Linked DNA regions of Saccharomyces cerevisiae S288C. The gene in region 2 interacts genetically with the main gene of each other region. Each region holds a gene or a part of one and is shown on either strand. Other genes may lie near its edges.

Evidence for each region. A genetic interaction does not mean that the proteins touch.
Region 1: mutations in ATP10 (region 2) and VHS1 together harm fitness more than expected from each alone (negative genetic interaction), as found in Saccharomyces cerevisiae (3 studies listed by BioGRID).

Annotation. Positions count from the first base shown.
Region 1 is NC_001136.10:954,217-957,898, forward strand, and holds VHS1 (putative serine/threonine protein kinase VHS1), read left to right. Parts: upstream 1-1,796; coding exon 1,797-3,182; downstream 3,183-3,682. Other genes in the region: TRAPP subunit TRS23, read left to right, coding at 72-731; YDR246W-A (uncharacterized protein), read left to right, coding at 917-1,117; YDR248C (gluconokinase), read right to left, coding at 3,542-3,682. UniProt on the Saccharomyces cerevisiae protein: Probable serine/threonine protein kinase involved in the G1-S transition.
Region 2 is NC_001144.5:904,845-908,921, reverse strand, and holds ATP10 (Atp10p), read right to left. Parts: upstream 1,844-4,077; coding exon 1,004-1,843; downstream 1-1,003. Other genes in the region: SUMO ligase CST9, read right to left, coding at 1-972; ART10 (Art10p), read left to right, coding at 2,617-4,077. UniProt on the Saccharomyces cerevisiae protein: Essential for the assembly of the mitochondrial F1-F0 complex.

The sequences.
Region 1 (3,682 bases), on a different chromosome or scaffold from region 2:
AAAAAGGAATCTGCCTTTGCATAAGTTCAAAAGTGCAATTTTAGTGTTGGATTTAAACGGGAAAAATTGAAATGGCCATCGAAACAATACTTGTAATAAACAAATCAGGCGGACTAATCTATCAGCGGAATTTTACCAACGACGAACAGAAATTGAACAGCAATGAATACTTAATTCTTGCTAGTACACTGCACGGTGTATTCGCCATCGCGAGCCAGCTGACTCCGAAGGCATTACAGCTAACTCAACAAACGAACATCGAAAATACCATCCCATATATACCTTACGTGGGCATGTCCAGCAATAGGAGCGATACAAGAAATGGAGGTGGCAATAACAACAAACACACTAATAATGAAAAACTGGGCAGTTTTAAAGGAGATGATTTTTTCAAAGAACCATTTACGAACTGGAACAAGAGCGGATTGAGACAACTATGCACGGATCAGTTCACGATGTTCATATATCAGACCCTAACCGGCCTGAAGTTTGTCGCTATCAGCTCCAGCGTCATGCCCCAGAGACAGCCAACTATAGCCACCACCGACAAGCCTGACCGACCCAAGAGTACATCCAATTTGGCCATCCAAATAGCCGACAACTTCCTAAGGAAGGTTTACTGTTTGTATAGTGACTACGTCATGAAAGACCCATCTTACTCAATGGAAATGCCTATAAGATCTAACCTGTTCGACGAAAAAGTCAAAAAAATGGTAGAAAACCTACAATAGACGCACGCGCCATCGGAAGATAAACGCATTCACACCAAGAAAATAAATACTACGTACTTCTAGAACTAAGAAGAAGTTGCCGCTCTCCGTCTCCTCCTTCATAAATAGGGATAGCTTTTACTACTACGTACGAAAAAAGACCACACTGCGACGGATCCTCTGCATCCCAACACCAGCGATAGAAAATGCGCCGCCTATATCGTCATCTTGCTTCCTTTTTCTTACTCCCTTCCTGCCCTGGAAACACCATACAATCCATCACATCATATCCTGCCAATGCACTATTACGCAGCTTTCGGCACGTGAGTACGGAAACACCAGTTCGGAACCGGGTACACAATAGGGATAGTCAAAGCTGTCCATTTTTTCCGCTGATGGATGACTGATACCAAAGTGTAACCCAAAAGGGGTAGTCGATCCTACTTTTACCAGTTACGTTAAAGGGACCAAAACGTGGGGAAGGGATGCCGCCACCACCACCGCCACTACCCCCGCCAACATGGCCTAACTTAGCAGTCCTCGCTTGTGTATCTAGGTCCGCGTCCGCTAATTCGCGCGGCTTGCCACTTAACCCCGTCCAGTTAATTTGCCAAGCAGCGGCCGCACGTTGGAACGTTTTCGCCGATTTATTTATTATTATTTATACATGTTGACGTTGGTGCCCTTTTGTTTATACTGGAGCCTAAAACGTACCTCAATTAAATTTAGTGTGCCATATTATAGTGCTATTAAACCTTTATTTTTATTTTTAATTTTAAAACTGCTTTGGTTCTCTCCCTCCCTTACCGTTGCCACCTTAAGACTCACTGATATTTATTCATACTTACAAGTGCTATAAGAAAAGACTTGATTTATTAGCTTTACAGCGTTTTTACATTTGTGTCACTGCTATTATATTTTTGTTTACCTCTTTTTGTTGCTGGTGTTGGCGCTACCATTGTTTTTTTGTTTTATGAGTTACGTTTACAAAAGTTCTTAACATTTACTGTACGATAATATACTAAGGTGAAATACTAAAGTAAAATAAAATAAGAGAAAGAAAAAAAAAAAAAAAAGAAAAAAGTAATGATGATGTTCCATAATTGCAGAATTAATAACTACTTAATAACTTCTCAAATTGGCGAAGGCGCGTACGGTCTGGTTTACCGTGCCTTAGATATTCGTACCGATAGACAATACGCTATCAAAGCGGTTGTTCAAAGTTACGGTGTTAGCAAGGAGGCTGATATGGGCAATGATAAAATACACAAAAATAGCGTGAAATTGCAAAAGAAGCTCGCTAAACTGTTCAAGGAATCGAAAAACGTTGTCAGGGTGCCCTCTATAGATCTAGAATCAATTGAGAATATGTCAGAAGAAGATTTTAAAAAGCTGCCCCATTATAAAGAGATTTCGCTACACCTAAGAGTCCACCATCATAAGAACATTGTCACCATACATGAGGTGCTACAATCTGCAGTCTGCACGTTCATTGTCATGGATTATTACCCAACAGACCTATTCACGTCTATTGTAGATAACAGACATTTTGTCACTAATGGACTGCTAGTAAAAAAGGTTTTTCTACAGATCTGTTCTGCTCTTAATTATTGCCATGAGCACGGCATCTACCACTGTGACATCAAGCCTGAAAACTTGCTACTGGATACAGAAGATAACGTTTTCCTATGCGATTTTGGTCTATCCACTACTTCCACATATATAAAGCCAAATGTTTGCATTGGTAGCTCGTATTATATGCCCCCTGAAAGAATCTCATTTGATGGGAGAGTTTCCAGCTCTAAAAGTGGGGGACATAAGTTGGGTAAGGTTTGTCCCTCATGTAATGGCGATTTGTGGTCATTAGGTATCATCCTTATCAATTTGACATGCATCAGAAATCCCTGGCTGAAGGCTGACAAAACCGAGGATAATACCTACTATTATTTCACTAAGGATCCCAATATACTAAAGCAAATCCTACCGCTTTCCGATGACTTTTACTCATTATTATCTAAGATTTTACAAGTGAATCCGAAGAATAGAATGAGCTTGCAAGAGTTGATGAAAGAAGTTAGTTCTATTACAAGCTTCACCAATGAAGGCCCGTTATCAAAAGTGCCGCCTCTTTCCAAGTCTGTTTATGAAAAGTTCGTTAGCCCCGTCGATAACACGAATGAGAATTTGTCTCCAAAATCCTACGTGTACATGCACGATAGTAAAGCTGCCAAGAATTTATCTTATACATCTTCAAGTGAGGAAGAAGATGGAATCAAAGAAGGGATAGACGATGATAATGGCAGTCGCAGTGGCAGTTTCGGAACGCTAGACACAGACACTGGATTGCATTCTTCGTTCACAAGCACTTCTTGCGAGTCCGATAACGAATGTTCTAAGATTTCCAACAAATTTTCCTTGTTCGAAAAAAAATTCAACGAACTTCGCATGAGTTCCTCTTCTTTAACTAACTAACCCCCTCCTTTTTGGCACAAAAGTGTACTACACATCTGTTTTAAGCCCACAATTGATAGACCTTCTCTTGATGATCATCTGTTTTCCCGAAAATATTACTTGCCAAAGCAAGTTGTAGTTATATTCACACTTCCGTTATGACCCCCTCATCCGTTTAATGTTATTTGTTTTTATGGTATTCCCTTTATTCATTTTTTTTCTTGCTTTTTTTTGTTGATCCCTGTAACCCCTTTTTTTTTTTTGGAAGTTGCTATTATTATTCATTCACATTTGTTCTGTCTTTGTTAATTTTCCAGGTCACCGTATTTAATTTCTATATAACTGTTTCTAATATTTACTTCGTTTTATCCAAGCGTTATTTACTCAATATTCAAAACTTTACTTTTTACCACCTGTATAACATCTTTTTCAATTTGATAAAACGTTTTGAAATCTAAGGGAACAATGTCACAGTCAGTTTCGTCGTTGATGTCTGGTAACTCCAGATCCCTGAATTGAGA
Region 2 (4,077 bases):
ATTTGGCAACTTTCCATCGAAGCCTTTTGCAACACGCACAGGAGAGAACGAAAATCTGTTCAGATTGGTTGATTCTGCAATAGTCGAAATATTAGGTAGATTACTATTTGCGTTTGGGTTCATTCCAGGAGGAGGAATGCTATTTCTATTAGGATTATTCAATGTCTCCATAAAGAGAGGCTGGTTTTTATTTACACGACCACTTGTAGAGGGAGTGACAGTTCCATTGTTATTTTTTGAAGAATTTCTCAAAGAAGAGTTTTTTTTCAACTTTTTAATAAAGGATTTGGCTTCGAATTCTTCTAAACTATTATCATCAACTGTCAGATCAACGGTTGGAGGGGGCTGGTAATGATTTTGATGGCTATTTCTTGTTGGTAGCACACCAACTGACATCGAAGAAACATTGTTATGATTCAAAACTGACTCTAATTCCTGTATTCTTTTCTTAAGAATCGCCATAGAATCCAACTCTATTTTGGCCTGATATAGCAGCTGCTGTTGTCTTGCACATTTTTCTCTCAACTTTAAACAATGATTTTGATAGTATTGACACTGTTTCGAAAGCCCATTCAGTTGGAATTGGGAAACATTATATAACGACTCCAAAAGTGGGGGCAGTGGCTCAAAAAAAATCCTAATGTCGGTAGGCAGCTGTTTAGATTCCACAAGGTTAATGATGGAGATATCGCTCGAACGGCATATAGGACACACCTTTGATGTTAATGGAGAATGCTGCGAACAGAGGATATGAGCACATGAGGTCAGCCTCAATGGATCTCCATGCGATGTTCTTCTGTGGCAAACACCACAGTAAACAAAGGGCTGTTCAAAAATAGAATCCGGCATTATATATTTCTTTGGTGATATCAATGATAAACGTCTTACCTGTTTCAAGCACTTTTGTTTTTTCTCTCTCATGCTCTTCGTGTTAGTTTGGGGAATGAACACGATCGCCAAATAGCCGCCCATCCCTTGTTGGCCGCCGCACAAAGCGTCAACTTCACAGACGTTTGGCAAACTTCCACAATGCTTCCTTTTCAGATGGAGTAGCCTCCCCGCAAGCTGCCCACCTAATTTTTAACTGCTGGTCCACAAGAAAGACGTATCCAGAAAAGACATTATTGCAAAAGAGCTCTTCCCTGACGGAAAATGGCCATTGGCCTCTAGAACATTCGAAATAAAATGGCTGGCGCCAGGATGGAACGCGATTGGCCCAACGAGCAAGCGTTTTCACTAGAGCACTTTTCACAGCGTTTTCTACAAGATTGACCTCGATGATTTGGACGTTACTGTCATTTAAACTTAAACGCGCATCAGCTTCAGTCAAGTAGTCAGTTTTTTTGTTATCGTCTACGATTCCTTGGAAGTATGAACTACTCAACTTATCGCCAGATGCTGTACTAAATAACCTCACTATACTGGTTTTACCCCTTAACATATCCTCGATATTCTGTTGTTTCGTACCATCCATTGCCGTTCCTATCAAATGAGGAAAAAACAAAGCTTTATCTTCTTTCCAATATGAAACTGGAGCTATAAACAATTTCCCCTTTGTCTTTTGGAAGACTTGCACGTCATAAAGTCCAGATTTGCTGAATTCAACGGCCAACTCTTTAACTCTGTGGTTTGTCTTTTCCGAATCAAACATATCCCTCAAAGAGTTCCCCTGGGAGTATTTGGTGCTTTTCCTTGGTGCTTGTGTTAAGCCTATTGGCTTGACCAGTTGTTTGATCTGGTATTCCTTTGGGGAAGCCGTTGCCATCATAGGCTTGAGGAATTTATCCAAGAAGGACATCCGCGTAAGCGTGGGATGGTAAAACCTTTTAAAAGTGCCCTGCATAGTTAGTTTAAGTTACTCTGATATCGCAAATAAACAAATAACCTGACTTTTACTATATGCTGAAATAGTCCTTTTTAAATATGCACTCTTCCATATTTTTCTGAAGGCGAATCAAATAAATGGTAATAAAAATTTAAATTTCAAAAACGATTTCTAGGCAAGGATATTGTGCGTAAGGAACAAAACAAACGTTTATAGTAGTTTTTATATAGCTGCATAGTGATGTGGCGAGAACTATTAAATATTTCTTACTTCGAAGTTTTATGTACATCGCCTCTGCCTTGCCTTTACACTTTTTAAATTCTTGATTCTGCTCTAGTACAATCTTCACCACTGTTACAAGATCAGGCGTCTCTTTACTAATACCAAGAAGAGGGTGAGATACATGATATTTTATTAAACTGATATTGCCTTGGGTCGGCTGTAATGCAATTAGTCAGGTGGAATCTAATATCACCTAGGGCCTTGGTGAAAATTCTCAGCAAAATGCGGGTTGAGGGTGAGAGAGGGTCCTGGGGAAGGTGCACGCCCTTTTCACAAGAGGTGCGTAAGAGAGAAACAAGCCTTCGACTCTACAGCCCTTCTAACACCGCCACTCAATCAATTAAAAGCAGTCGCACCCATCCAAAAGTAGAATTACATAAACTAGAGGAGAAAAAGCAGCCAGTACAAAGGAGAATTACTTCATTGACCAACGGATATTCTGTGAGTGTTTATATTTAAGATTCTGCTTTTGATTAGAGAAGGTTGAGAACCATACAGTTTGTCAAACCATGGCTCCAAAAATTTCAATATCCTTAAACCCACCGTACAACGGGGAGTTTTATAGCTCTAATGATCAAATGTCAGGGATAGTTAGTCTTCAGTTAACAAAAGCGCTATCTATAAGGAAAATTTCCGTCATTCTAAAAGGATTCTCAGAGACCTTAACAAAAATTGATCAAGAGTACATGTTTCAACAGAATGGCATGATGATGCCGGGCCAAGACAACAAATCCTTTCATACATTAATGAAATTCGAACAGAGAGTTTTCCCTCCAGATAATGTATGGAATGCTCTTGATGGCTCCTCCAAGCCGTTCAAAGTTAAACCAGGTTCATATAATTATAGCTTTCAATTTGACAAGTTTCCCAGAAAGCCTGAATGTCTGAAAAATCATACGGCAAAGACAGTAGCGTTTGTGACAAGAAGTAATGCCCGACTCCCACCTACGTTCAATAGTCATTGGCAAGAATTTAATAAAATCGATAATCTGGATTTGTATTTTTACTCTTTTGGAAAAGTTATATATATGGTGCAAGTTCAATTAGAGCTAGGGAAATCTTCATCTTGGTTTAAGCCATTCCATAAACTGATAAGGGAAATCGAGACGTTCGAATTTATACCTGAGCCAAAAGATCTTATTATAGAACCTGATGAAGATGACAATGAAGAACTTAATGCCTTCAGTAACAATAGTAGAGGAAATAGTATGGTCACCAACAATGAATTTTTCAATAGTTCAAATTTAAAGGTGCCATCAAAGGACGTCAAAGTCGTTAATGGAGTCGGATATATAAAAAGTGACAGGAACTTTTCTCAAGCTAATTCTATATTGATAGAAAACGGCGACATTAGATCGAGACCGGTATCATCAGTCACATCAACAAGACAATCTACTCGCCTAGTAAATGGTATGAAAGTTTTCCCATCTACTTATAAAATGGGGTTGCCTGATGGGGAAAGCAATATGAGAATAGAGGTTAGAAGTCGAGATTTGAAGCAAATATACAGGAAAGACTACTTGTTTAGGTCTGGCAGCCAAAATTTTGACAAGGTCTATGTAGTCATGGAGGGGAATATAGCAAGTTTGAGCAAAATGCAAATTACCCCACTTAAACTACAACTGAACTTGCTAGAGACTACAACATATTTATCTCAGGGAATAGCGAACGGCAATTACTCTTCTTTGAAGCTAATCGAGATTGATTTGAATCAGCTCAAATCCAATAAACCTCTTTTGGACTTAAACGAAATACGAGAAAATTTTGATGGTTCTATGTTTGAATGTGAATTACGGTTAAAGGATCACCCCATTTTAAGAAAGTTGGTATTTAATGAAGAAGACTATAGACATCGCGGCAATAGGTTGTATAGTTTCAAGACATGCACGATAAAAAGAACATTCAGTTTACAGCTACTGATAGAATGGGGAATCAATGGAATTAGGAAGCAATCTGAAGTAAACATTGAT